Sus scrofa: one gene and its partners. The protein of the gene in region 3 purifies or fractionates together with the protein of the main gene of each other region. This does not show direct contact. Links are inferred from orthologs where the notes say so. Each region holds a gene or a part of one and is shown on either strand. Other genes may lie near its edges. The genes, in order: CYB5A, VDAC1 and BCAP31.

Evidence for each region.
Region 1: the proteins of BCAP31 (region 3) and CYB5A purify together in Homo sapiens (co-immunoprecipitation; 4 studies listed by BioGRID and IntAct, with this or other methods). This does not show direct contact. The link is inferred for Sus scrofa from reciprocal best matches to the Homo sapiens genes BCAP31 and CYB5A.
Region 2: the proteins of BCAP31 (region 3) and VDAC1 purify together in Homo sapiens (affinity purification with western blotting; 3 studies listed by BioGRID, with this or other methods). This does not show direct contact. The link is inferred for Sus scrofa from reciprocal best matches to the Homo sapiens genes BCAP31 and VDAC1.

Annotation. Positions count from the first base shown.
Region 1 is NC_010443.5:149,732,167-149,742,593, forward strand, and holds the start of CYB5A (cytochrome b5), read left to right. Parts: upstream 1-5,517; 5' UTR 5,518-5,593; coding exon 5,594-5,722; intron 5,723-10,427.
Region 2 is NC_010444.4:136,315,760-136,326,155, forward strand, and holds the start of VDAC1 (voltage-dependent anion-selective channel protein 1), read right to left. Parts: upstream 4,850-10,396; coding exon 4,783-4,849; intron 4,256-4,782; coding exon 4,206-4,255; intron 3,093-4,205; coding exon 2,940-3,092; intron 2,852-2,939; coding exon 2,799-2,851; intron 1-2,798. UniProt on the Homo sapiens protein: Non-selective voltage-gated ion channel that mediates the transport of anions and cations through the mitochondrion outer membrane and plasma membrane.
Region 3 is NC_010461.5:124,455,884-124,464,355, forward strand, and holds the end of BCAP31 (B-cell receptor-associated protein 31), read right to left. Parts: exon of another isoform or gene 8,367-8,472; intron 4,718-8,366; exon of another isoform or gene 4,594-4,717; intron 4,343-4,593; coding exon 4,207-4,342; intron 3,379-4,206; coding exon 3,255-3,378; exon of another isoform or gene 2,596-3,254; coding exon 2,273-2,595; 3' UTR 1,460-2,272; coding exon of another isoform or gene 1,421-1,459; 3' UTR 1,116-1,420; downstream 1-1,115. UniProt on the Homo sapiens protein: Functions as a chaperone protein. Is one of the most abundant endoplasmic reticulum (ER) proteins.

The DNA of each region.
Region 1 (10,427 bases), on a different chromosome or scaffold from region 3:
ACTCCTGGTCCAGTGAGAAAGACAGACAGGTAGACCAATGGTGTAGTGAGTGCATGACAGAGTTGACTCGAATAAAGGAGCATACAGGGAACTAGTTGGAGGGGAAGGGGACAGTGAGCATGTGCCTCCTCAACAGTTGACTTCTAAGCTGAGTCAAAAAAGGTCCTGAGTGCGTGCCCAGGGTAAAGGAAGTAGGAGAAAGGAGGGCAAGAGGTAAACTTAAGGTAAGAGGAAAGAAAGGGTGTTTCCGTTGTGGCTCAGTGGTTTAAGAATCCAACTAGTATCCATGAGGGCATTATGCCTATTCCATCTCTGGCCTCACTCAGTGGATCAAAGGATCGGGTTACCAAAAGTTGCGGTGTAGGTCACAAAAGAGGCTAGGATTTGGTGTTGCCCTGGCTGTGGAGAAAGTTGGCAGCTACGGCCCTAAAAAGAGAGGAAAAAAAAGAGGAAAGACAGGGCTTAAGCAAGAGTATGGAGTAGAAGAAAGAATGCCTTTTTGGAGATCTAAAAATAGCTCACTTGCTAGGCTATAAAGATTGAAGGGAAAATGACAAAGGATAAAGCTAGAGAGGCAGATTGTGAATGATCTTGGATGTTCTGGTAAGGAATTCGAACTTTAGTTATTGGGAGACATTGGAAGGTCTTAGGCAAGTAGTAATGTGATCAGATTTTAATTTGGGATCCATTCCTCATGGAAGATGAGTCTGAGGAATTCAAAACTAGAGGCAAGAAGAACCTGTTAGGAAGTTATTGTAAGCAGATAGGCGAGTAATCATGAAAGGCACATCTGGGGGCAATGGTAGTAGGGATAATGAGGCTCCCTGGATGATATCCAGGCTTCTGACTTGGGTGACCTGATGATGATAACACCATCAGCTGTGTGTCATAGAACTGTATGTAATCTTAAACCCTTTATAAAGTTAAATAGGATATCTGGAATTGTCCTGCAGTACAGCAGGTTAAGGCATTGTCACTGTATCGGCATGGGCCACTGCTGTGGTGTAGGATCGATCCCTGGCTCACGAACTTCCACATGCTAAGGCTACAGCAAACAGAGGTTAAATAGGATATCTGGAATTTTCCTTATTTATACCATTTTACTCTTGCTCCATTGTGCTGGAGACAAAGTTTTTTGGTTTTGTTTTGTTTTTTGTTTTTAGGGCCACACCTGTGGCCTATGGAAGTTCCGAGGCTAGGGGTCGAATTCAAGTTGTTGCTGTCAACCTATGCCACAGCCACGGCAACACCAGATCAGGGCCGTGTCTGCAACCTACACCACAGCTGACGGCAACGCTGGATTCTTAACTCACTGAGCGGGGCCAGGGACCGAACCCTTATCCTCATGGATACTAGTTGGATTCATTTCCACTGCACCACAATGGAAACTCCCCAAAAAGATTTTTAAAAAGAAAATTAGTATTGCAACCATGTCCTACAATCAAACATTTAACCTTTTTATTTATCTGCTGCTATTTAAAGATGGACATACAAGGAAAATGTGCCCAAGAATGTATTTATAGTAAGATTACATATAATTAACTTGTCTTTGTCTTAAGTTATTGAGGAAAGTTGTTCTGCCTCAGCAATGAACTTAAGCACTAGCTTTGTTATCAGATTATATCCATTGCTCTCTGCTCCTCATTCTGTCTCTGATATTCAGTTGATTAGAGAGGATCAACTGACATTCTGGTGTTATAAATATACATGGGTAAAAACAACTTCATAAGTGCTTTGTTTTATTTATTTATTTTTTGTCTTTTTGTCTTTTTTTTCTACGGCCCCACCTGACACATATGGAGGTTCCCAGGCTAGGGGTGGAATTGGAGCTGTAACTGCTGGCCTACACCAGAGCCACAGCAATGTGGGATCCAAGCCATGTCTGCGACCTACACCACAGCTCACGACAATGCCGGATCTGAAACCCACTAAGCAAGGCCAGGGATCGAACCCTGCAACCTCATAGTTCCTAGTCGGATTCGCCAACCACCAAGCCACGACGGGAACTCTATAAGTATTTTAAAATGAATGAAAAATTTAAAAATTCAGGAAATTTTGGAAATTATTGCTAATAGATGGGGAATTGTTTGGAAATCAAGTAAATATATGCACTAGAGATACAAATTTTTTTGGAAAAGAAAATTTAACGTATGCTAACATATTTAAAAGATAAATATAATGCAAATTATCCATGTAGATAATTTGGAGTCCTTTTTTGTAGAGTGCCCATTTGTTGAGGGAACTCACTCTCTATGGTTATGACTATATAATGGCAAATTAATTATTTGTGAGTGGGAAGGAAAGAGCTGCTCAAGTGTGTCTTGTGCATGAGTGGCAGAAGGAATTAGAAAAGGAATTAAAAATGTAATAATATGTGTTTATTTTTGCCTTATAGTAGGAGACTGAGTGCTTTCTATAGTATATTTTACTTGAGGAACTTTAGGAGTAGAGTTGGAGGAACTTTAGGAGTAGAGTTGGTTTTCTAAATGTTTATAAAAATTTCTTTGCTGGAGGGGAGGTCAGGAAGGGTTTGTAAATATTTGTATTCCTTTAATTTCTCAGGTTTGTTTCTAAATTTGTCTAAATTTACCTCACCTGGAGCACCTGCCACATAGGATGTTTCCTTATACACTCTGCTTTAGAATAAGGAAGTCTTATTTGGTAATAGCACTTGCTAAAATCTATCGATTGTTTTCTATGTGCCAAACCCTGTACTAAGCATTTATAAGCAGTGGCTTAGAAGAGTTAACTGATTAGGTCAATGTCATGCATAATTTACCAAACCAGGGATAGGATCCAGGTCACTGGCACCAAAGTTTTATTGTTAACCACTTCCTGAGTTATTTGGAACTGGAACTGAAATCTGAAATAGTCTTGACCTTGGATTATAGAGGTAGTCATGCACTGAAGAGATTCATTGTTCTGTCAGAGTCATGGGGAGATTCAGCGGTCTGGAGAACTGTTAGGGAAACAGTATAGGTAATGTAGTTTACTATTTTTAAAGCATTTAAGAAAGTTATAACACTAAGTGCATGTATTTGAAAAAAGGAAAAGTCTTAATAAACTCACACCTTAAGAAAGTAGGAAAAAAAAAAGGAACCGGAAGCAAGTAGAAGGAAAAATTCAGTAAGGAGCAGAAGTCAATGACATTAGGAAAGAAAATAAAAACAATAAAAAGCTAGCTCTTTTTTTTCCGGCTACACCCGAGGCACATGGAGGGTCCCAGGCTAGGGGTCAAATTGGAGATGTAGATGCTGGCCTATGTACACCACAGCCACAGCAACTGGATCCATTCCACGTTTGCGACCTATGCCACAGCTCAGGGCAACGCCAGATCCTTCACCCACTAATTGAGGCCAGCGATTGAACCTGCGTCCTCATGAATGCTAGTCAGATTTGTTTCTGCTGAGCCAGGATGGGAACTGTAAGCTCTTTGGAAAGATAGATAAAACTGACAAACCTCTAGCAAGGCTGACAATAGGGCAATAAAAAGAGAGGTCATATTACTACTACCGGGAATTAAACAGAAGATATCACTACAGACCTTGCAGACATCAAAAGCTAATAAGGGACTACTATGAACAATCCTACACACATAGATTTGATAATTTAGATGAACTGGATCAGTTCCTTGAAAACTACCAACTACCACAACTCACCCAGTTTGAAATAGATTTCAATAGTCTTACAACTACTATGGGAACTAAATCCATAGTTTAAAACTTCCTGAAAAGGAAAAGATAGGGAAAGAGAGGGATAAACTGGGAGTTTGGGATTAGCAGATACAAACTACCATATATATAGATATTTAACCAGAAGGTCCTACTCTATAGCACAGGGAACTATATTCAATATCTTATAATAAGCCATAGTGGAAAAGAATATGAAAAAGAATGTGTGCATATACATATATAACTGAATTACTGTGCTGTACACCCAAAAGCTAACACAACATGGTAAATTAAGTATACTTCAATTTTTTTAAAAAAGAGTATTAAAAATTATACATCATAGAGAAGTGTGATTTATTTCAGAGATGCAAGGCTGGTATAATAATGAAAGTCAATGTATTCCACACTACTCAGCCATAAAAAAGAATGAAATAATGCCATTTGCAGCAACATGGATGCAATTAGAGGTTATACTAAGTAAGTCAGAAAGACAAATACCATATGATATCACTTACATGTGGAATCTAAAATATGGCACAAATGAACCTCTCTACCAAACAGAAACAGACTCACTGACATAGAGGCCACACTTGTGGTTGCCAACGGGGAGAGGGAGGGAGTGGGATGGACTGGGAGTTTGGGGTTAGTACATTCAAATTACTACATTTAGAATGGATAAGCAGTGAGGTCCTGTGTAGCATAGGAAACTATATCCAATCTCTTGGGATAGACCATAATGGAAGATAACATAAGAAAAGGAAAGTATATATATATGTATGATTGGGTCACTTTGATGTACACCAGAAATTAGCACAACATTGTAAATCAACCACACTTCTAAAAAAGATCAACCCCCCCCAAAAAAAAACAAGAAAGAAAATCAGTGTATTCCATCATACAAAAAAAGCTAAGGACTATTGGGAATGTCAGCAAAAATGTCTTTTCTACGGCCTTGCATTCCTACAAAGGAGGAGGTAAGCAATGGGACAGGAAAAAAGTATCAGCAGCTAATGTGAAAGAACTGTGCTTAAAATCTTCCTATGGGTGCCAGCTGGGGAGGTACTGTTTTATACTCTTCCAAAAACTGTCAATCATTTAGGATTTATCTTAAACAATATACTGTTGAGAAAAGACAAAGAAGACACTAGTACAAGTATTCGCATAGTCTGGGTCAACAGCGAGATAACTTATGTCCTAAGTTCTTTAGGACGATTTTGCTTTTATAGAACAATTCCCCCGGGTTTGTTTTTCCTGTGAGAATGGGGGCAGTTCTGGGGTGAGGGGAATTGGTCAAGCAATTGGGCAGTAAGTACACTCGTTCTACGGAGGCTAAATGAGAGCACTGGTTGTTTACCACATCTCCTCTCACCGTAACAGATCACCTTGACACTCAGTTCACCCTGACACTAGCAACGGAACGAATTTGTTACAAATTAATGTCCAGGTCTGGCTGATCTGACCTGATTGGGAAATCGCGGCGATTTTGTTGTGTGGTCGTTGCCCTGCCAAGGTGGACACTGCGCCTGCCACAATGAACCCTCCTTCGCCAGCCACTCCACCCCACGGTCCCGGGCTCCCGCATCATCCCCTTCTGCGCAGACTCGAAGGAAGCCCCGCCTCCGCTTACTCCCACAACCGTGAACATGGAGGGCACCTTCGGCAGCCAATTAAAACTCGCATACTGGGCGGGGCGCTTTGGGGCTGGCAGAGAACGTCGGTCGAGCTCGCCCTTTGAGTGACACGAGTTCTGGCCAATCATCGGAGGTCGTGCTTCGGCCGTCCCCCTCTCCTCTGTCTGCCGCCCGGCCCAGTTGGGGAGCTGGGACCAGGGGAATGTCCCGGCCCGAGTTCGCCAGGACTCCCACTCTGTTCCGCTCATCTCTGCCGCTGTCAGCAGGGCCTGAGGTTCGCCGCGTTACGAAATGGCCGAACAGTCCGACAAAGCCGTGAAGTATTACACCCTGGAAGAGATCCAGAAGCACAACAACAGCAAGAGCACCTGGCTAATCCTGCACCACAAAGTGTACGATTTGACCAAATTTTTGGAGGAGGTGAGTTTGTGAGGCAGGATGCTGGCCTAAGTTTGGGGGGTTGCCTGCCAAGACCTGTCGTTTGCAGCATGTCGGGATAGACCTGCACGCCTCTATATCCGCACCTGAGTGTGCGCACCCGGGAGTGTTTGCTGAGTCTGCACACCTGGGAGCGGACCCTGAGTTTGTACACTTGGGTCTGCGTGCCTCCGTGTGCATCCCCGGAAGCTGCACACCTGTGTGTGCACACCTGAGGGCGACCGAGGGTGCGTAAGTTAGTTCTGCGGCTGGATCAGCGGTTTTAGCAGTCTGCAGCCCTCCCTTGTAGGGCAGGGACTGCCTCCGGAGACCCTGCGCGGGCGTGTAAGAAAGAACCATTTTGAACTTAGAGGGAAACTGAATCGCATCTGGAGCTGCCTTCCTAAGAGCTCAACCACGGAAGGATTTTAAAGATCTTTTATCCTTGAGTTTACACAAACCAGGGCTTCATCTAGGACAGGGGTCCTCCCACTTATTATTTCTGGAGTGGATTCCTAATTGGACCCAGTTGGAGATCACCCACCCCGAGAGCTGCTCTCCCCCTGGCACCTACAAGCCAGCCCCACCATCCATGCCCACCATCTAGAAGGCGCCCAGTGATTGTAAAGGTATCTAATGATAACTTCAGTGAGGTACAGTATTGGACTCCTTCGAGTCAGTGTGGCGGGCTGTGTGTGGCTTTGATGAAGAGAGGAAGAGGGACAGAGAAGTAAAAATTGCCAGTGGGACTTGATCCTTAAGCAACTTTGGAAATTGTAAAAATAACTTTGCTTAACTTAGAGGAGAACATTCCTTTGATAAGATTCTTTGCATTAGATTATAATTTTTGCAGTAAATATTGAGTCCCCCCTCCCCCAACTCTGGCTGTGAAGGAGTTTGAGTCACAAATCTTAAATCTTAGTATAACACTCCTTCATTCCCCCAGACAATGAATAGGAATGTTTAGTGGAATTCTTCACATAGTTTGTGAGAAAAATGTAGATAGAGGCCTGGTCTGAGCTGGGTCACAATTTCTATCAAAGGACATTTGTTTTGTAGAGAATGTTTTAAAAAACTTTTAAAGGTTGAAGTTTTTGTTTATTGGTAAGATATTTTACTGTTGTCTTTAGGTGATGTGCCAGAAGGTAAAACAGTGTCCCAATACAGTTAAGAGTGGTTTATAGTAGGGAGTCAGATCTGATCTGGCCCGCCCCTTCTGCTGAGCTATGGAGCTTATTTGCTATTAGAATTTCTTCAGCTAATAATCCTGCATCATATCATCAGATCTAACTGATATCAAATGTCTGTTTAACAGCTGTTCTTCCCAGAGTTCCCGTCGTGGCTCAGTTGTTAACGAATCTGATTAGGAACCATGAGGTTTCGGGTTCGATTCCCAGCCTTGCTTAGTGGGTTAAGCATCCGGCGTTGCCGTGAACTGCGGTCTAGGTCGCAGACACGGCTTGGATCCCATGTTGCTGTGGCTCTTGCGTAGCCGGTGGCTACAGCTCCGATTCGACCCCTAGCCTGGGAACCTCCATATACCACAGGAGCAGCCCAAGAAAATGGCAAAAAGACAAAAAAAAAAAAAAAAAAAAGCTGTTCTTCTCCCTTCCTATGGTATGTGTAATTTTGGAATTTTAAGATTCAGAGTGTGCTTTCTTTATTTGTGTCTATTAAAAAGAATAGCATATGGGAGTTCCTGTCGTGGTGCAGCAGAAAGGAATCCAACTAGTGTCCATGAAGTTGCAGGTTCTATCCCTGGCCTCTCTCAGTGGGTCGGGGATCCAGTGTTTTGACGTGAGCTGTGGTGTAGGTCACAGATGCGGCTCGGATCCTGAGTTGCTGTAGTTGTGGAGTAGGCTGGAAGCTTTAGCTCTGATCTAACCGCTAGCCTGGGAACTTCCATATGCTGCAGGTGGGGCCCTAAAAAGCAAAAAAAAAAAAAAAAAAAGAAAAGAAAAGAAAAAAATAGCACTTATGAAAAAATAATAGGGTATTTTATGTTACAAAGCATTTGCCATTTTTTCTTTCTTTTTTTGTGGGTTCCGTCTTGTTCAATGTGTTGTGCAGAGGGCCTCCATGGTCTCTCCCAACCAGTTGTCAGTATCACTGCTCCCCCTTCTGTTTTTGTGATAACCGAAAATGTCTCCAACTATTGTCACATGTTCCCTTGGGGACAAAAATGTCACTCCTAGTCAAGAACCATTGCCCGAGGATGTATCTTGCATAATTTTTTATGGGTACGTTTCTCAAAAGGAGATAGGAAGGGAAGATTATTACACTTCACTATAAACCAATTACTTTTACATTTCATTCTTATGAAGCAGTAAAGGAATTGCACAGTTTTCTAAGCCAAACTGCAAACCAGCTGTTCAGAGGGTGAATTAGTTGACAGCAGATTCCTTTATTTCTCACTCAGTTTTCAAAACTCTCTCTCTACAAGTAGTTTAGGAAGAACACCTCTCAAGTAAAATGTGATGAATCGGTTTATCACTAATATATGATAACTAATACTTACAGTGAGATAACTTAAAAACTACTATTTATAGTGAGGTAAATGAAAACAAGTTTACAGCAGTTCCTGTATGCTTAAGTTTCCTCAATTGCTACTTGGTAAAATGCTCCCCAGAGGAGCCCACCTGTGAGTTGAATTTGGGACACCACTGTTTTCTGGTACTCACACCCTTCCTTCAATTAGTTTATCCGGTATCTGCTGACTTCTTATAGTGGAGACAAGAATTTGAGAGGAAGAGATATCATTTCTACCCTCAGAAACTTCCATTTGAGTAATAACACAGAAAACAATGCTGTGGACGTATGGGGGTTATAACACAGAGAGCTATGTTGTGTGGGCCAGAGCCTAGTTCAGTGGTGGGGATGGGACTGGGGTGGCTGTGTGAGACATCAGCTCTGGGCCTAAAGTCATTGATGACAGACCTGCTCCCAGAGCTGGCCTGGATTAAGAAGAAAACTGGCTGACACTGTGAAATGGGACCAATCAGAAGAATAAAGACATGCAGGAGGACACTTGCCAACCTGTTCTAGCTGGTCATCAGCAGTGCCAGCCTTCCCAGAACATCACATTCTGGGGGTCGTGTGCAGTTTTTACTATCTGTTTTCACTTTCTGTGATCATCTCTGATTAGTGCAGTGTTCTAGTCTTTGGCTTCCTGCCCTCAGCCCAGCTATCCAAGGATTCCCTGCACCTTAAACACACATCTCATTCAGAGACCTACTTGCAGGACACTCAGTGTTTCACTTCCTAGATCCCTCCTGTTCCATTACTTTATTAAGCCAGTGCTATTTACCTCATCCTTTCTTCTGAAACAGAAGGGAGCCTCAAAGATCTGTCTCTCTCCTCTTGCCTTGCCCCCTTTTCTTCCATCAATTTAAAAGCTCCAGAAATTCATGAAGCCTTTACCTGGTAACTAAATAATATCCTACTTTCCCTAATTTACCCAAATATGAAAGAAGTTCCTTGTTTGTTTTTTGGTTTTTGTCTTCCTACCTCCTAAGTGGACTTTCAGTCATTATGGGCTAGATCTCCTTATATATCATAGAAACAAAATAATGCAGGTTAAACATACAGCATATGGTCTGCACAGTAAATGCAAACTCCTCTACCAGTACAGGTCTGGGTTAGGCATGGCTTTCTTTCCATAGCATCGTATGTAGCTGAGTGCTAATATGAAATTCTAGGTAAAGGTATAAATCTGGCAGGTGATGTTGAAACAAAGAGAGTTTTATACAAATTATACCCTTCTGGCTCAAGAACACAGGTGAAGTTTCTAAGTTGTGCAATGAGCTCCACCTCTGGAAATAATGGCCATATTAAGCTGTTTTGTTTTCCAGAGGAGGGTAGACACCTGAGAGGGAGGACTGGCTCCTTTATTGCTGGTGATCTAAGTAGCAGCAGGTGTTTTGTTACTGTCTGATATTGATCTCCAAGGTTGTTAGCCTTGTTGCCTAAGTATTTTGAAATAGGGTTTTTTTTTAGTTTCGTGGGTTTTTTTTTTTTTTTTTTCCAATTCTGGTTTTTGCATTTACATTTGTGAAGTAGAGTCTTGTCATTCCTGATTATGTTATTAGCAAGGCTAATGATTGTAGAGCTTTGCATGAAAATGTAGGCATTTAGGGCCAGGAGAAAAATTGATTTACTTTTCCCTTTCTGTGATTTTGGGCAGTAAACATTTATTTTTTCAAGTTTTTACAAGTACTGTGGAATAAGAAAAGAAAGTGTCATATAATTAATGGCAGTAATATTAACTTGCTTTCAGTTCAAGTCATTAGATGTTTAATTTGTGAAATAGACATCTTCCTAAAAAAATACCATAAAGCACAATGCCTTTGTGTCAAACTGCCTCTCTCCTTTATGTGACCAAAATGGAAACTGATTTATATAGAACATTTTCTGGTGACCCTGCGATTCTGATGCCCTGTATCTGCATCTTAGATGTTCTTTAACAGCATTCTGCCTTCTAAAGCTGTTGGCTCCTGACTCACTTTTGCTTTCAGAATCTTAGGCAGTGTTCTTTATAGCAGGTTTTGTTGTTTCCCTTGAACATGGCTGCCTACTTTGCAGAGACCAGTGATTCTAAGCCTGTGGAGCATCGATGCCCTGGAGATTCAGGAAAAGAGTTTGGGTACTTGAAATCGGTGTCCTTAGTTCTGAAAAACAGAGGACCCTGTATCTTTACCCTTGGTAGGAC
Region 2 (10,396 bases), on a different chromosome or scaffold from region 3:
GGACGCAGGTTCCATCCCTGGCCTCGCTCAGTGGGTTGAGGATCCGGCATTACCGTGAGCTGTGGTGTAGGCTGCAGATGTGACTTGGATCTGGTGTTGCTGTGGCTGTGGCGCAGGCCAGCGGCTACAGGTCGAAGTTGAACCTGGGAACCTCCATATGCTGTGGGTGCGGCCCTAAGAAACCACAACATCAGCAAAAAAAAATGAGGAGTTCCCGTCGTGGCGCAGTGGTTAACGAATCTGACTAGGAACCATGAGGTTGCGGGTTCGGTCCCTGCCTTTGCTCAGTGGGTTAACGATCCGGCGTTGCCGTGAGCTGTGGTGTAGGTCGCAGACTCGGCTCGGATCCCGCGTTGCTGTGGCTCTGGCGTAGGCTGGTGGCTACAGCTCTGATTCAACCCCTAGCCTGGGAACCTCCATATGCCGCGGGAGCGGCCCAAGAAATAGCAACAACAGCAACAACAACAACAGACAAAAATACACAAGACAAAAAAAAAAAAAAAAAAAAAATGCATAACCAGGAGGAAACATCAGAAAAATCCAAACGGAAGTATGCTACAAAATAAGGGGCAATCTTCTTTAAAAGTGTCACGGTCCCGGAGTTCCCATCATGGCTCAGTGGTTAACGAATCCGACTAGGAACCATGAGGTTGCGGGTTCAATCCCTGGCCTTGCTCAGTGGGTTAACGATCCAGCGTTGCCGTGAGCTGTGGTGTAGGTCGCAGACATGGCTCAGATCGGACGTTGCTGTGGCTCTGGAGTAGGCTGGTGGCTACAGCTCCAATTTGACCCCTAGCCTGGGAACCTCCATATGCTGCAGGAGCAGCCCAAAGAAATAGCAAAAAGACAAAAAAAAAAAAAAAAGACAAAAAAGAAAAAAAGAAAATTAAGTGTAATGTAGTATCCTGAACCGGATCACGGACCAGAAATAAGACATCAGTAGGGCAACAGATTAGTTAATGATATACTATCGACATACATTTCCTGGTTCTGCTAATTGTATTATAGTTCTTGAGTGTCTCTCTGGATAACCTGTGCTGTTGTGGGAGGGGACCTAGAGGGAGGTGGACAAGCAAGAAGGCGACAGTCCCGCGAGAGAAACTACAGCAGAGGTGAGAACAAGAGTAAATTCAGCTCCTGGCCAATGGTCTTCAGACCATCCACGACCAACTTTGAAAGAGAGCATAACGGCCAGTGCTCGCTTCGGCAGCTCATATACGAAACTTAGAACGATGCAGAGAAGATGAGCGTGGCCCCTGCGCAAGGATGACACACTAATTCGTGACTTGGTCCATATTTTTTTTCCTGTGTCAAGTCAGTCTTTGTGCAATCAGAGCTGAAGAGTAAACTATTCGTGTACTATCTAGTTATTTTGAAAGATTTATATAATGAATTCTGGATATATGACCAATACAAGTGATGCGAGTTGAAAAATAAATAAATAAAAATTTGAAAATAAAGTAAAATAAAGAAAGCATAACCTCCAGAGGCAGGAACCTTGTGTACCCAGTCCCCGTGGCCAGCCTGCACCAAGGGTCTGAGCTCGGAAGGGCCTCCCTCTAATAAACAGGTGTCGGAAGAGGGAAAAAGGAGGAGAGAGGAAAATACGGGATGGCAAAAAATTAAATTCAAAGTGCCATTCAAAGACAGCCGAGAAGGTAAACTTTCTGTACATTTTACCACGATTTTTAAAAACAAAAAAACTGAGAAATGAAATTCCATACATGCCCTGAGCCTGTTATCCGCGTGCAAAACAACCTTTCCAGGATGAGGAGACCTACGGCTCTGCGTGGAAAAAAAACAAGAGTGTGTTCTAGAAGAGAACAACTCCCTCTAGCCACTTTGAAAAGTACCAGGAACAGAGGCAGACCAGCAGCAGGCCCCTTGCTCCCTTTTTTTTTTTTTTTTTTTTTTGGGCTTTTTAGGGCTGCACCCACGGCCTATGGGAGGTTCCCAGGCTAGGGGTCGAATCGGAGCTACAGCTGCCGGCCTACACCGCAGCCCCAGCAATGTGGGATCTGAGCCATGTCTGCAACCTACACTGTTGCTCATGGCAACACTGGATTCTTCACCCACTGAGCAAGGCCAAGGATCGAACCTGCATCCTCATGGATGTTAGTCAGATTCGTTAGCCACTGAGCCACAACGGGAACTCCCCGCCTTTCCTCCTGATAACCAACAAGTCTGATCTGTGTGTGGCCCCAGGGCCTGGAGCAAAAAAAGGCAGCCTCTGGAGCCACCTTGTAGTTAAGACCACATGCTCTCAGTGTCCCTAAGTAAGAAGGTGGGGAAAGGGCCATCAAGCCTAAGAAAGGGGGCTGGCCACAGGGACCCATTAGCCCCTGCTTCCCAGCGCCACCCCCTGGCCTTGGCTACTCACATTACCAGCAGCCTCAGTCCCAGGGAATGCAGCATTCCTGGACCAGAAATCCTGCAGCCTCCAAGCTGAGGCCAGCAGAACAATCACAGCACAGAATCTCACTATAAAACACAGCTAGGAATTCCCATCGTGGCGCAGTGGTTAACAAATCCGACTAGGAACCATGAGGTGAACTCAGTGGCTTAAGGATCCGGCGATGCCATGAGCTGTGGTCTAGGTCGCAGACACGGCTCGGATCCCACGTGGCTGTGGCCCTGGCGCAGGCCAGTGGCTACAGCTCCGATTCGACCCCTAGCCTGGGAACCTCTATATGCCACGGGTGTGGCCCTAGAAATGGCAAAGAAAAATAAAGAAATTAAATTAAATAAAAAAAGACACGGCTAGCTGTCCTTAGGGAGACGGTGGATGAGATTCTTACCCAGTGTTCGGTGAGAAGGATGAATCAAAGGTCAGCTTCAGTCCACGGGCAAGCTGAACAGAGAAGAAATTCGCCAGCAGGGTTAGTCACGAGACGGGCCGGCAGCCGCCCCTCAGTCACACCGCGTCTTTGGCGAGTTACCTGATCTTCCACGGTAATCTCCGTGCCCAGGGTGTTGTCGGTGTTCCACTTCTCTGTAAACGTCAGACCATATTCGGTCCATCTGTACTTGGTTTCCAGACTGCCCGTCACTTTGGTGGTCTCCGTGTTGGCTGAACCTGAGCTTGTAAATTCCTTTAAAAAAAAGAAAGAGGGTCACGGCCTGCATGCCAACGCTTCATTCTGCATCACGCCCCCCCTAAATGTTGGGAGCCCCGCAGCAAGTCCACGCCACCCCTACGTGGCCTCTGTTCTCCTTTAAGCAAGAGGTGACACCTTGCATGCGTGCAGGAAAAGCCTCACTCGATAATTCAATGAGATATTTCAAGTACAGATGGAGCCGGCTAATGAAAGGAATCTTACAGGGAATTCTTTTACTGGCCGTGCCCGAGGCATGCGAAAGTTCCCAGGCCAGGGACTGAACCGGTGCCACAGCAGTGGCCCGGAGCTGCTGCAGTGACAATGCCACATCCTTAACCTACTGCGCCACAAGGGAACTCCACTACAGAGAATTCTTTATCAGGACACGGCTTCCTTCCTCCCCTGTTAACGCTTCAGTCTGGACAGGAAGGCAATCCTTCCATCCCGCCTCCAGCCTAGAGAGAAAAAGCTTTTGAGCTAAAGCTGACGTGGCAGGAATTCAACCCGAAGTATCCTTCTTCGAACAATTACCACATGTACAATCTAAAAGAGACTAAGGTTTTTGTTTTAGGCATTCCCTTTGCGGCTCAGCAGTAATGAATCCGACTAGGAACCATAAGGTTGCAGGTTTGATCCCTGGCCTGGCTCAGTGGGTTAAGGATCCGGCGTTGCCGTGAGCTGTGGTGCAGGTTGCAGATGCCGCTCGGATCTGGCGTTGCTGTGGCTGTGGTGTAGGCCAGCAGCTACAACTCCAATTGGACCCCTAGCCTGGGAACTTCCATATGCCGTGGGTGTGGCCCTAAAAAAAAGCAAAAAAAGATTTTAAGTAATCACATGGTATGGAACAGAGGCTGATTCTGAAATAAGACGCATAAGGAAAAATAAAACTGAAGCCTGCCCCATATTCCTACTAGAATCCAGCTGAAGAAGTGGGGACCTGGTCACATGGTTCCCCTGGACCACAAATCCTACAAAGGATGCAATGCAAAGGACAGCTACAAGCTGCCACAATCAGAAGAGTCCCTTTGTTGGTCACCCCGAAGGAAGTTATTTTTTATATACTGATCTGCATAAATACCCATGCTCCGCGTGGGCCAGACAACTTACCAGTCCATTCTCAGATTTTGTTTTCAAATCAAGTTTTATTAGGCCAAATCCTAAAGAGAGGAGATGGTAGCTATTAGCAGGTTAAATAACTCACTCGAAAACAGCATCCCCGCCTCCCTCGGTCTGCTTTAACACGCTCTGAGTGTGAGGGCACCAGTCACCACTGCTGCGTGTGTTGGGGGGGGGCTGGTTGCCATGGAACCGTGGCCGACAGAACAGGCCCAGGCCCCACCTGCACGCCCAGCGGAGTCTGAGAAGAAGGTGCATGACCGCGTGGGCACATGTCTAAGGACAAGCTAAATTTAGAAGCTGCAATCCACTGCAGCGGCAGCCACAGACCTGCTCCCTGCCTGCGAGAGGAAACAAGAACGCCCGCTTGTTGGCAGCAATGTGCAAGCCCACCTGCACTGGGTGCACAACCACAACTGCTCGGCCAGCCGTAGAAGGCTTATCTTTTTTTCCCTGACATGAAAGGTCTGAGAGCGAGCTGACCCCAGTCTCTCAAACTCTGATGGGCAAAATCCCAAACATGCCACCCCCGCCTCCGAGCTGGAAGGCCACTCCGTGCGACACTCACCATAGCCCTTGGTGAAGACATCCCTGGCAGACTTGCCAAGATCGGCATACGTAGGAGGCACAGCCATCTTCTGCTGCCAGAAAAAAACCACCAAAATAAACACATTGGTAATTTCGGCTATGAGTTTCCACCAATAAAAATCATCAGCACTGAGTTCCCCCAGTGGCAGGCGGAGAGGCCTGTGCTGGCTGCTGCTTCTTTTTGTGACCAGAGCTTAAAATGCCCAATAAGTTTTATTGAGAGCAAACCAGCCTGACTTTTGGGGTTTGGGTTTTTGGTTTTTTTTTTTCTAGTTTTTTTGTTTGTTTGTTTGCTTTTTAGGGGCACACCGGCAGCATATGGAGGTTCCCAGGCTAGGGGTCTAATCGGAGCTGTAGCCCCCAGCCTACACCAGAGCCACAGCAATGCCAGATCTGAGCCACATCTGTGACCTACACCACAGCTCACGGCAACGCCGGATCCTTAACCCACTGAGTGAGGCCAGGGATCGAACCTGCATCCTCCTGGATGGTAGTCAGTTTCGTGAACCGCTGAGCCACAGCGGGAACGCCCAGCCTGACTTTGGACCTCTTCTCCTAGGCATCCCTGGGACTGAGCACAGGCCCAGAAGACGGGAGGAGTCAGGCAACATCAGCTAAATGAATTCACTGTCAAAGATGCATTCCCAGAAGGCAGCTACTTCACTCGACGGCAGGACTCTTGCCAATATAACGTATCTTCTTACAAAATATCGACTGCCAGGACATTAATACAACAAATAGAAATCAGAGCTTTTCAGAACAACTGATTTTCCCTAAGATTCGAATTTCATTCATTCAACAAATATTTATGGAGTCCCTACTGCGAGTCAGAATGGACCCAAATTACCCCAAAACTTGCATTTTACAGGAATCAACAGGGATATCATATTCTGCACTGAGAAAACAAACAAACAAAAAAAAAAACTGGAGTTCCTGTCCCAGCTTAGCAGTAACAAACCTGACCAGGATCCATGAGGACATGGGTTCGATCCCTGGCCTTGCTCAGTGGGTTAAGGATCTGGCGTTGCCGTGAGCCGTGGTGTGGGTCGCAGATACTGCTCGGATCCCACATTGCTGTGGCTGTGACGTAGGCCAGCAGCTGCAGCTCCAATTGGACCCCTAGCCTGGGCACTTCCATATGCCGTGGGTGTGGCCTTAAAAAGCAAAAAAAGAAAAAAACCAACAATAAAACCTAAGTAGGCAACTCTTCATAGGGAAGGAAATGCAACCACATCCCCCTCAAATTTGATTCAAACAAAAATTTATTGAATTCCATGATGACTTCATTTTTAAAACCAATTATCAAAGTACTACTTGGGATTATTGTATATCATTAAGCCAGTCAACAAGCATTTATTAAACACCTCGGTGTTCAAGAAAGACAAGAACTTCACTATTTTTTCGTTTTTTTGTTTTGTCTTTTCTAGGGCTGCACCCGCGGCATATAGAGGTTCCCAGGCAAGGGGTCTAATCCAAGCTGTAGCCACCAGCCACAGCCACAGCCACGCCAGATCCTTAACCCGCCGAGCAAGGCCAGGGATCGAACCCGCAACCTCATGGTTCCTAGTCGGATTCATTAACCACTGAGCCACGACGGGAACTCCAAGAAAGGCAAGGAACTTCAAATAGTCCTTGCCCTATCTGAGGACCACACTGGGCTGCTGGGAGGCTCTGTGATGACACATTATGTACAGAATGAAAACCCTACTCCAGACAGCTCACACTGTGTTCCATCCAGAAGAAGAGACCATGAGAAAGCTCCAACTTCTGTATCTTCTCCATCCTCAAAATCGTGGGTCTCAATCAGCCAGAAATTCACTTAACCCGGGGCTGGTCTGCTCCTTTTTAACACAATGTATCTAAGTTACCAAACTGAATCTGCGTACACCCCATCTAAAGTCACATCCTTACCAACTAACACAAACACCCACAGGGCATGTTCCTGGTTGAGGGGGACCCCCCCCGAAAAACGGTCCAAGGGATCCCAGGGTAACAACAGCACAACTGGAAGGTGCCTTCCTGAGCAAAGCCTTCACTTCAGACACGGCAGGGAACCCACAGAACCAATGAGTATCATGTTAAAAAAATAAATAAAATTGCAGTTCTCGTCGTGGCGCAGTGGTTAATGAATCTGACTAGGAATCATGAGGTTGCAGGTTTGACCCCTGGCCTTGCTCAGTGGGTGAAGGATCCGGCGTTGCCGTGAGCTGTGGTGTAGGTTGCAGATGCCGCTCAGATCCCCAGTTGCTGTGGCTCTGGTGTAGGCCGGCGGCTACAGCTCTGATTCAACCCCTAACCTGGGAACCTCCACATGCCGCAGGTGCGGCCCTAGAAAGACAAAAAGACAAAAAAAAAAAAAAAAAAAGAGAGAAAAGAAATAAAATAAAAAGTAAACTTCAATAATTTTAAATTACAAAAATACGGTCCAAGACCTCTTTTACTTTTTTTCAGAGGTTTTGCCAATTGTGTCTCGGCTCCCTCTCGTGTCAGAGCGGAGAGGAACAGCCCAGGAAGCTGTTGACGCTCCCCTAGTTTTGTCGCTGTTGTTATTTTTACACATGATCAGGCTGGAACCATGGGCACATCAGTCCCTATTAGCATCAGGGCACAGAGAACAGGGGCAGAGACCCGCTTTAGGCTGCTCTCACTGGCTCTTTCAAGTCTGCGGACCCCCTTCTCCCAACTTGTTCCCCTTCCACCGCCCCCAGGGACACAGCAGGAGACCATCCGCCAGGTCCCCCAGAGACACCCTCTGCCTTAGGCATGTGGCCCAGCCAGAGATGCGCCTGCCCCACCACCACCACCCCCAGGAGAAGCAATGAAACAACCCTGGATCGAAAAGTGAGGTCAGAGAGCCCGAGGAAATGTGCAGAACATCTCAGCAAAGGGCCCAGAACATTCTCCACCCCCGTGAGCACTCAAAGGTATTGGTTTGTGCCCCCTACCCAAATGGGTCACAAACTCAGCCCAGCCAGGTGAGGCCTGATGGCACTATTTCCGGGTCAGCTAAGACCTCCTGTACCTCAGGGGTCAGGGCCTTCCCGAGTACCCTCCCCTGGCTCTAGGACCCACCCCAGCTGGCACAGGCAGCTGTCACATCTGGAGTGGTCCATCCCTCAGGAAAAAAGCAGAACACTCATCATTTAATGCTCCCCAAACGCCCTCTCTTATCCCTAATCCCCCAAACTGGAAAGCAAAGCCACCTGTCAAAAAACACTCCAGCCACAGCAAGCATCGCCCTAAAGGGGCCACTAAGGAGATTACCACCCAAAGACAGGAGAGGTGGGACAGCAGAGGGAGCTCACATAAAGCCAGGCTCCCCTTGCAGCCCCAGCACAGCACCTGGCAAGGAAGATGCACAGGAACCAATGCCACTCCTGGACCAACAGGGGCAAGGGGCTGACTCCCCTCCACCAAAGGCCCCCAAAGGCCCTGTGGCTACAGCTTCCCCTTCTGCTTTCCGTGGGGACTTCCTCTTTCCCCACCTCCTGTCTCCGGCGGCACTGATGCGACAGGACTGAAACAGCCTGCCTGTCTGAGAAGCTCAGCTTTCTTACAAGTGCAAACAGCACCCAACACAGTTCTCAGGACCCCCCTTCAAAAACAATTTTATCGTCACAATAGTGATTGCCATCCCTGCTTTTTCAGGTCAGGACTAGAGGGGAGAGAATTCAGTATCCTACGTAATAGCCTGCCTGCACTGCCTGGGAGGCTGAACCCTTGTCCTGGCCCTGCCCTCCACCTGGATCAGCTCCAAACCACTCCCTGTCTGTCTCTGCAGCATCCCCCCCGACCATGCCACTATGCGTCTTCAGAAAAGGGAACTCACATACACGGCAGGTGGGAAGGCAAACTGGGCAGCCACTGTGCAAAAGAGAATGGAGATTCCTCCCCAAAATTAAGACTCAAATGACCATATAATAATCTAGCCATTCCACTTCACGGTCTTTATCCAAAGAATGTGCAAATACTAATTTGCAAAGATAAGTGCATGCCCATGCTCGCTGCAGCATTACTGACAATAGTCGAGACATGGAAATCAACCAATGAATGCATAACAAAGATATGGTGCATGTACGTATTCATGTGTGTGTACATACGACACAACCATAAAAAAAAAAAAAAGATGAAATGTGGCCATTTATGACAACATGGATGGACCGTGAGGTTATTACGCTAAATGAAATAAAGCAGATGGAGAAGACGATACCCTAAGATTTTGCTCATAGGTGGAATATTAAAAAAACAAAATAAATGAACAAACCAAAACAAACCCATAGATACAGAGAATACAGCAGTGGTTACCACAGGGAAAAGAGGAGGGGGGAGACTGGGAAAGGGATCAAGTACGTGGTGATGGATGAAAACTCAGATTCTGGGTGGTGGACACATGTAGAAACACAAGGCTGTACACATGAAACACAGATTTTTTTTTTTTTTTTTGTCTTTTCTAGGCCCACACATGTGGCATATGGAGGTTCCCAGGCTAGGGGTCGAATCGGAGCTGTAGCCATCGGCCTACACCAGAGCCACAGCAACGCCAAATCCGAGCCACGTCTGCAACCTACACCACAGCGCACAGCAACGCCAGATCCTTAACCCACTGAGCAAGGCCAGGGATCGAACCTGCAACCTCATGGTTCCTAGTCAGATTTGTTAACAACTGAGCCACAACTGGAACTCCGAAACATAGAATGTTATAAACAAGTGTTACCTCAATAAAAAATTAAAGGGACGGGGGTGGGCTAGGCAGCACAGCCCCTGGAGGCTGAGCACAAAGCACGCCCTGTGTAGATGGAAATCAGAAGGCTGCCTGGGGAAGCCAGGACCCCAGACCAATACCCAGGTGAGGGCTCCAAGGTAGAGCCTGGGAATGAGGTTCCCAAGGACACACGGGGCATGAGGAATGGGCAGGGCCGGGCAGAGCAGACCTGCCGAGAGTCACCGATGACTTCGAGCTGGGCTTGTAAGTCACACCAGAAGACAGGAATTGCTGCTTGCCCTCCACGGCCTGTCAGCCTCCCTACCCAGCCATTCCTTGGCTGACCTTGAACAGATTATGCAAGCTCCACTCCAGCGGAGGAATGAAAATCCAGCCCCTACTGGAGGCTCGGAGGGGAGAGAGAGCCGATCGCCCAGCAGCCCAGCCTTGCATAACCTCCACCTTGGGGGACACATCCTCCCTGACTCATCAGCTGCATGGCAGCGACAGCGGCTCTGCTCCCAGGGCCCCTCCACGCCTACAAACACACTTACTCCCAAATCATACCCGGAACCCTAAGCAGCCCAGAGCTTGCAAACATTTACCCAAAATACGGGAGGGACTGCACGTATGAAGATGCCAAGGCCTGGCACACAGTAGGTATCCAATATAAATGCCTGTTTAATGAGTAACTGGGCACTGAGCATTAAGGCATTTTTACAGCAGGAAAAAAAAAAGGAAACTTAGTATCTGACAATAGGGAGTTAAGTAAACAATGTGACCAGTGGGCAGGAGCGCCCTCTACAGGAACACTGCTGAAGCACCAGGGACAGTGCACAAAGAGCGTGTGCCACCCCTACAGTGGGAGCTGAACGTTAGCGGAAGAGACAAG
Region 3 (8,472 bases):
TTCCCCTCCGCCCAGGCCGAGGCCTGACACCGACGGGGTTCAGGGGGACTCGGGGCTGGCCAGAGAAGAACCTGCAGGCAGTCTGGACTTTGGCCCGCAGAGGTTCAGGGAAGGGAGAGCTTGGGGAGGCCGAGGTAGTCGGGGAACACTTCCTGGAAAAGTGGGACTAGCCCTCAGCCTCAGCATAGCAACCGGCAGACACCACCCAGTAGGCAGCCCAGAAAGGGGCGGCACCCCTCGTGAGAACGTGGGCAAAGGACACTGGCGAAGGGAGCCCTCAGCCTGCAGCTGGCAGGAGGGGCAGCACGCACAGCTGACTGTCAGCACCACCGCCATCCCCAGGAACCCCCCAACTCTACACGAACACCTCCAACCTGGTCCCCAGCCCCCGGCCCCGTCCTCAAGGCCCCCCGACCCAGGCCGGTCTAGGGGGCCGCCCAGGGGGAGGCTGTGAGCAGGGAGCGCACCTACACGTTTAAGAGGCTACAGGCGGCGGGGGTGGGGGGGCGGCCTTGACCCCGTCTGGAGGCCCTCTCCACAGCCTAGCTCTGCCCTGGGCCAGTCGTAGGTCACTGCCAAGGGCGAGTCTCCTCTCCTAGCCAGCATTAGTCAGAGGTCATCCTGTAAAACCTTCGGGGGGGGGGCAGGGAGTGACTGGTGGCGCTCTGCCACGTTCTATCTGTCCTAAATGTGATGAACGGGACCCAGAGGAGACAGGCGAGCCTGCCACCCGGAAGCGCCACTGGTTCACCGGGTCTCCCAAGCTCCCCCGGGCCCAGCGGCCAACCCCCAGGGAGACGGAAAGGACAGACCCGCCCCATGGAGCTGTAACGCGGGGCCTGGCAGGGGAGCAGGAGGCAGAGGGGCAGAGAGGCCAAGGGCGAGCCTGTGCCTAGCCTGAGATGAGGGACGCTTCTGGGGTCAGAGCAAATGGGGACAAAACACGGCCCTCCAGAGCCAAGACTGGGGCGGGGGTCCTCCGTCAGAGCTGCCGGCCGCCGCCTCCCGGCCACTGCGGGGAGAGGGAGCACAAGGCGGCCTCCTCGCGGCCCCAGTCTCTCTCTCTCTCTCACACACACACACACACACACACACACAAGCACACACGCACCACGAACACATCACAACAACCTTTATTGCCCCGAGAAACCTCTACTCTTCCTGCTCCATCTGCCTTCCTGCAGGACCAGAGAAAGGGGGCCTTGGAGGCGCGAACAGCAACACGTAACACAAAGGGGCTCAATCCAGCGGAAAGCAAGCCCTGCTCATCCTGGACGGGAACTGGGTCCCCTACAGAATGCTGGGGGCGCGTGGAACTGCAAGCAGCGCGGGGAAACAGCAGCGGAGGGGAGCGAGCCGAAGTGCCGAGGGAGGCTGGGCTCTCGCGAAGCAGCCAGCCACGGGCAGGGAACAGGGGCCCTCACTCCTCCTTCTTGTCCGTGGGGCCATCTACCGCCGCCTGCAAAGGGGACAGAAATTGCAAAGCAGTGGGTTGGCAGGGTGCCCTCCTCCCCTTCGCCTTCCAGCCCCGCCACCCTACAGGGAGGCCCAGCAGGGTGCGCCTTTCCCCAAATGCCAGGTAGCCAGGTGAGCGAGGGACCCCACCCTCAGCGGCACCCCACGGCCTGCCAGGGTAGGAATGGCCCCACTCCAGTGGGAGGGGGCACAGCTGGAAGCCTCCGCTGTCACTCTTTTCTTAGAGCCCCGCCCTCGCAGCAATACCTCCTGGGCCTCCCTCGCCCGCACCCTCGTCCCCAGGGCACCTCGGCATTTGAGTCCCTTCCAAGTCCCAGTTCAGGCTCTTTCCGACTCTGCACACCTTGCACAGGTCCCGCTGGGGAGCCTGCCCTGCGCTGAAGCTGTCAGCTCCTCTCCGCCCTCCATGGTGCCCAAACTTGGGCCACCAGGCACCAAGGCGAGCTGTCAGAACCTAGGGGTGTCTATCTGCTGGGCCCTCACGCCCCATTTCCAGGCCACCCAAGCTTCCGGATGCAGGTAGTCTGAGGGGCCTGGCGGTGTAGGTGGAGGCTGTGACCAGCAGCGCAGCCTGGAGCTCTCTGCCCCACCTCACCCCACAGCCCCCACAGCCCCCACAGCGGGAAGCCAGCAGCCGGGGCTGGCGTTTCCCCTGCGGTGTACGCGGGACGAGAACTGTACCCAAGGAAAGGAGCTTTGCTCAAGGGGGCACTGATGCTGGGCACGAGGCTAGGGCCCAGCTACCAAGGCCACCTTCGTTAGCAGCTGCCCCCTACCAGGCCACAAGCCCTCCTGCTCAAGAAAGCGTTCCGGCTGTTGGACCCAGACTGGCACCAGACTCAGCAGCAAGAGGGAAAAGGGGGACTGGGGGAGAGAGCAAGCAGCCAGCCCGCTGCCGAGGCCTCTCCCAGGGACAGGTCCGCCCCGAGGCAGAGAGAATGGGCAGCCAGCTCTGCGCCCGCTCGGGGGGTGGGGCAGGGTCCCGTTCCAACAGGGCAGGCGGCGGCGGCGTGCTGACCTGCAGCTTTGTGTGCTCCTCCAACAGGCGGTCGTACTCCTTGGTGAGGCCCTCCGACTGCTTCCGCATGGCCAGAGCCTCGTTTTCAGCCTTCTCCAGCTCTGTGGACAATGCGAGCAGTGAAAGGGAGGAACGTTCAAAGATTAGGATTAGGGGAAAAGGAACCTTTGCTGGAGAGAGCAGGTGCAGCCACCCCCAATCTGTCCCCAGCCAGGGTGCCTGGGAGACCACTCTGCTCAAGAAAGCTGCCTTGAGAGCCTCCAAAAGTGGCAGAGGGCTGGCCGACAAGGCTGTGGCAAGCGGGAAAACATGGAGGATCCCCGCCAGCCCCTGTAACGGACATGCCTCTCAGCAGGGGGTGGGATCGCAGGGAAGCTGCCGGCCTGGGACAAACGCTGCGGAAATGCCCAGGTCAGAGGAGGAGGCACCTCTGACTGAGGCTCTCCTTCCCCACCCCGCCAGGCCCCTGGCGACGGGGCACAACGCCACTCCTCGCCGGGCGCTGCATGGGACACTCTGGACGTGGCCTCTGGGGCTCCCCGGTGGGGACCCTGCCTGCACCGAGGAACCACTAAGCCCCACCGGCTGGGGCTGAGCCCGGCTGCACTGGGGCTGGCCGAGCAGGGGCCATCTGCTTGTTTCCACCCCGCTCCTGGCCCCTGCGTGTCTCTCATTGATACTTCGGCATGAGAAGTGCGGCAGCCACTGGCACAGGCTCCAGACTTCTGGGGGCCGGGCGTGACCCGAGGACAGTGCTCACTCTGCTTGCTGACGGCCAGCTCTTCCTTCAGCCTCTTCAGCTCAGCCTTCAGGCTCCTGTTCTCTTCCTCCACCTTCCCTCCTGCGTCGCCGCCATCTAACTTGACTCCGCCCACAGCAGCTTCCTGGGAAGAGCGCCAAGGGCGGGGTTACTGGGGGGGGAGGCGGAGGGGGGAGGAAGGGGAGGGGAGGGGGGGCTCCAGCTCTGTCTTCGGCCTTGGCCTCGCAGGGATTCCTCAAGCGGCCCTGGGCACTTGCCCCTTCGGAAATGTCAGCGCAGAACTGGGCCACTGCTTATTTCCAGCCACCAGGCAAAGCCCAGGGCCAGCAGGGCCACCTGCTGCAGCTCGGAGGCCACACGCCCTGCCTCCTTTCTCAGCAGCTCTTCGGAGTTTACCAGTCCATCCAGTGACTCAATCCGCTGTCATCTGGGGATTTCTGCCAGTCGCCCCCAATTGACCATTGCCCTCCCTGCCCCTCTCCAAGCTTCACAGCTCCCTCCGGCCAAAGGGCCCTGAACTCGCCCCTACCCGTCCAAGTCTATCCTGCCTACGAATCCAAGGCCATCCGTCTCCTTCCCAGCTTGGCTCACACCTCACCTCCTGCGACAAGCCTTCTAGGACTGCCCCGCCTCGTCCCCGGCTGATAGCAATCCTTCTCTGGTGTTCTTCTGTGCTAACTTGCCCAATGTTCACAGCCCAGGGCGCAGCTCGTTAAGGAGTCATTAGTTTTACGAGGGAAGAGTCTGGCCTGGATGCAGTGGGTAGAGGCGAGAGCAGCAAGGGTGCCCCCTTTCTGAGTCCCTCAGACGCCTCCGCCCATTCACCCAGCTCCTCCATTTTTCCAACAACAGCGGTATCACACGTTTCCCAGCCTGAGAGGCTAACAGTAGCCACTGTGGCCCATAAAGAATGTCGCATGGGGGACGGGCAGTTAGGGAAGGCCAAACCCACCTTCTTCAGCTGGTCGTTCTCTTCCATGTACTTCTTGGCTGCTTCACTAGCGCTCTCTGCCTGCTTTTTAAAGGCTTCATTGGAGGCCAGCAGCGTGGCCTGCTGGGAGATGAGAGTTACCAGGCGTCTAAGCAGGCTGGAAATGTTTACAAAAAGAAGGGAGAAATGAGCAAAAGGAAGAGGGAGAAAAAGGCTAGCGTGAACTTCTCTGGTTGCTCCCACCCCACACCTGCCTCTGGCCTAGACCTGTCCCTTGGGGTTGCCAGGGCAGCCAAGCAAAATGCTACGGGCATCTGGATCTGGCAACACGATGGGAAAGATGGCGCCGGGAGCTGTCCTCTGCCACCAGAATGATTAACAGCGCCCCCCCAAAGGCTGTTCACAGACCTGGGGCTCTCCTCCAGCCCCAAAGGCACAGGAGGCAGGAACATGACAGGACGCTCGGGACCAGGTCTACCGACAGCCTAAAGGTCTAGAACCCAGTGCTTTCCAGGGCAGGGCCCAGACGTGCTAAAGAAGCCACGATACCCCTTCCCTGAGTGCAAGGCCGGCCTCGCCCTGGCAAAGAAGAGCAGCCAGTGTTGGGTGTGCTTCCAACAGGCCAGCTGAATCCTCGAGACGACGTGAGGCGGGCGCCACTGCTGCCCCATCTCATCTTCAGAGGCTCGGGAGGCGGAAGCCAGTGGTCAAGAGCCAGAAGCAAATGTAACCTGTCTGTCTGACCCCAAGGCCTGAGCTGGCAACCGCGACGTGCTCGCAATTTCCAGGGAGCCGCTCCCCGGGCTGACAAGAAAGATGGAAGTGACTCTCCTCTCCTCACCCCTTCCCAGAGCACACCTGTGAGATAGCATCGCCGCAGTGAGGTGGCCAGGGCGAGGGGGACGAAAACACAAAGAACCAAGTCCCAGACTAGCCTCGAGAAGCAAGCAGGCAGCAGCTGGGCACGCGCTGCTCCATTTCCCGACAGACAGACACCTTGCCTCGAGGCCTCAACTCGCAGGAGAAGAGGACAGGAGAAGCGGGCAGGCACACCTCCCCACATGCCTGGGACAGGCCGGGCCAGCCACAGCTCCAGGAGGCGTGGGACAGGCAGAGGCCCTGGGGACGAGAGGAAGACCCAGCGTGTCCAGGGTGTTCCCACAAGGGCTTGCTCAGAGGAGACAGAGCAGCTGAGGCCGCCTGCTCCCAGCCATGCCCTCTGGCCTTCGCAGGGCTCTCGTGGACGCCTGCTGTTCCGAGGGGCCGGGGGGCCTAGGGAGGGACAGGAGAGCAAAAGGGGCGCCCCGCTCTCCCTGGCTGGGCCCTGGCAGAGCCCCTGGCGGGAAGGAGCCCAAAGCACCCATCACACTTCCTGGTTAAGGGAGAGGCTCCAGGGGCCCCTTGCAGGAAGGGAAGGGCCAGGCTACTGAGTCCTGGCAGGAGAGGAGAGTTTCCAGTGACATGTGCTCTCTAAAATTAGAGACCAGGACCTCGTGGCCCAGGGCTCAGGTTTCCCTGTCTCAGCCCCAACTGCCCACCAGCCTGCCCCCCGCCGGGTGGAGCCTCAGCGGTGGAGGGAGCTCCTGAGTGGCCCAGGAGCCAGAGAGAAGCAACAGGCCTGAGTCACAGCAGCAGGGTGGCAGTCAACAGAGGAGCCCAGGAAAAAAGGCAAGTCTGACTAAAGCCCAGCCTCGCAGGCACAGAGCTCTCAGGCAGCCCTGAGCGGATCCCGGCGAAGTGGAGCAGGCGGCTCCTCCCAGCTGGCGACTGGGGTGGGGGGAGGGCACGTGTGCCACCTGGCGGGCCCAGCAAGCAAGGAGCAGGCGAGCCCAAAGGTGCCGCTTCCCCTTCAACACCCCCCCCCTGCCCCCAACGAGGCTGGGGAGGCGGCTGACGCGGGCCGGACTCCAGCAGCACTATGAGTGACCACAGCTGTCGCCCCAGTTACCCAGGGAGGCCGGGCCCAGGGTGGTAGCGGCAATGATGACCACGGCAGAGGAGAAGGGGCCCCGCTCTCCTCGGTGCCCTCTCAGGCCAGCCCCAGTTGCAGAGAATCCAAGTTGCCAACCAGAGCCCCGGCAAACAAAGGGCAGCAAGTACAAGAAGGGTTCAGGGGGCCTCCCAAAATCTCAGCCTGCTCAGCACCCCCCAACCCCACCCTTTAGGGTCTAGGCCGCCCTCAGCACAGGGTGGGAGCCTCCAGGGGAGGTGCCTGGCCTCGCCACCTGTCTTTCTCTCCATCCCTGTCCTCTTCCTTCCTGTTAGACCTGTTCCTCCAACCCAGCCCCAGATTCTGGGTAATTCCTCCCTCCCGCCAGCCCCAGCCCCTCCTCCCTTCCTCCCTCCACACCACCCCAGGCCCTGCCCTGCCCTGCCCATGCCACCAGCAGGACCATGGTTGCCCTGACTGCCCAATCCAAGGAGCACCCTAGAGTCCTCGGGCACTCACTCTGTAGCACCTGGCGCAGCTGACAGTTCAGCCCCTGGGAATTCTCCTCTCCCTGCCTCGAGCAACCGTCGCTGCCTGTCAATCTCAACCCCAATAGGATTTATCTCAGCCAGACCCTGACACCCAGCTGCCTGCTAACCGGTGGCTCCTGGGAGGCCCCGAGACGCGTCCAACTCAGCTCGTCTGAGACAGGCCAACCGGCCCTGCACCGCGCTGCCCGCGGTTGAGGGCATCGCTGGTCGAGCCAAGCTCTCCTGTCTGCACGCCAACTGGGGCCCCAGTCATCCCTGCCGCCCCGTGGCTTCTTTCCTGGGTGACTTTCATCGCTTGCTAATAGACCTCCTCCCCTGGACCGTACAGCTTTGTGATCCGTGCCCCCGAGGAAGGGCAGAGTGACCTTCCTCCAAGACAACCTGACCACGAAGCCCCTCTGCTTCGATCCCTCCGCCACCTGCCCACAGCTCTCTGAGAGCTGGCTCCTGTCCCCTCACTGCCCACACGGTCCCCTGCTCTAGTAACACCAAAACACTGGCTGCTCTTGGAACACGTCAGCCCTTGCCTGCCTGGTCTCCGTGTCACTGCATGTCAGCCCGGCGGGCTGACATGGCTTCTCCCTCCTCTTTGAGAACCCGTGCTGATGACTCAAGACCCGACTCAGTCACCACCCTCCCCACAAAGCCTCTAGTGAACCTCCCCGGGGCCCCTTCTGGGTGTTCCCATGGCAGCCCCTGCGCCTGCTCTCAGCGGGCTGCATTGTCCTCTGGTCGGCCTCCATCGCTCGGTCACTTGCTCCTTATCTGGCTGCCCAGCTATAAATGCCTTCAGGCCAGGAACTGCACCTTGGACCCCTAGATGGCCCTTACCTGGCCCACTGAAAAGGGGCCTTGCAGGTGACCTGCCCCGCCCACAGGTGCGAGGCTCCCCCTCAGGCCCGGGCAGAATGGGGGTCTGAGGCCCTGACTCTCCCCAGACTCAGCCTTGCCTCGGCCCAGCCGCACCAAGGGGGACACAGGCAGACACACGGCTTGCCAGTCAGTCGAGCAAGTGACAGGAAAGAGCAGTAGGAAGGCACCACGTCAGACCCGTGTTGATGAGCCAGCCAGGCTTGTGACTGCAGTGCTGCTGAGAAGGCACTTGGGAAAACACTCATCACCAGAACTGGGGGCAGAGCCCAGTGCCCCGGCCCAAGTCCAAAGGGTGCCCCTGCGGGGCCCCGGGCTAAGCCAAGAGCAACACTCCCTAGCGCAGCCGACCAAGCCTGCCCAGGAGCTGGACTTCTAGAACGTCTTACTGCCCTCCCCCACACTAGGCGCCATGCTCTTGGGCCTGCCCTCCATTCAGCTACCCTGTGCCCCCTTCGAGCCTCCACCCCTTCCAGGTACCTCACTGGGCCCTTTCTGGGTCCGTCCCCTCAATGCTCTGAGTCTCCGCCAGGACCCAGACCCGGGGCAGAGCGGGGCACCTGGGGCAAAGTGCTGAGCTTCCGAACTGCCAAGTCTCGACAGCCTGGAGCAAAGGCTGGTGGACCGCTCTTTCCTCTCCTGCTGGCTCTCCTCCATCGCTCTCCGCTCCACTGCCCGAGGACGGCTTTGCAGACAACTATTCTTAGCTAGCTGTTTCTGGACTACAGGTGAGAACTACAAGCCAAAGGGATTTCCCAAAGGTACAGGGCTGGCAGAGGGGCCCTGGGATAACTGCAGCCAGTGACAGAGGGAGAAGTCAGCACACGAACCCTAAGAGAATCCAGATGTGTCCTTGGCGGACAAATGTCATCCCCAAATACCTGACTTCAACTGGGCTTTCTTGGTAGGATGTTTTGGGACGCTGAGTGGGGCTCT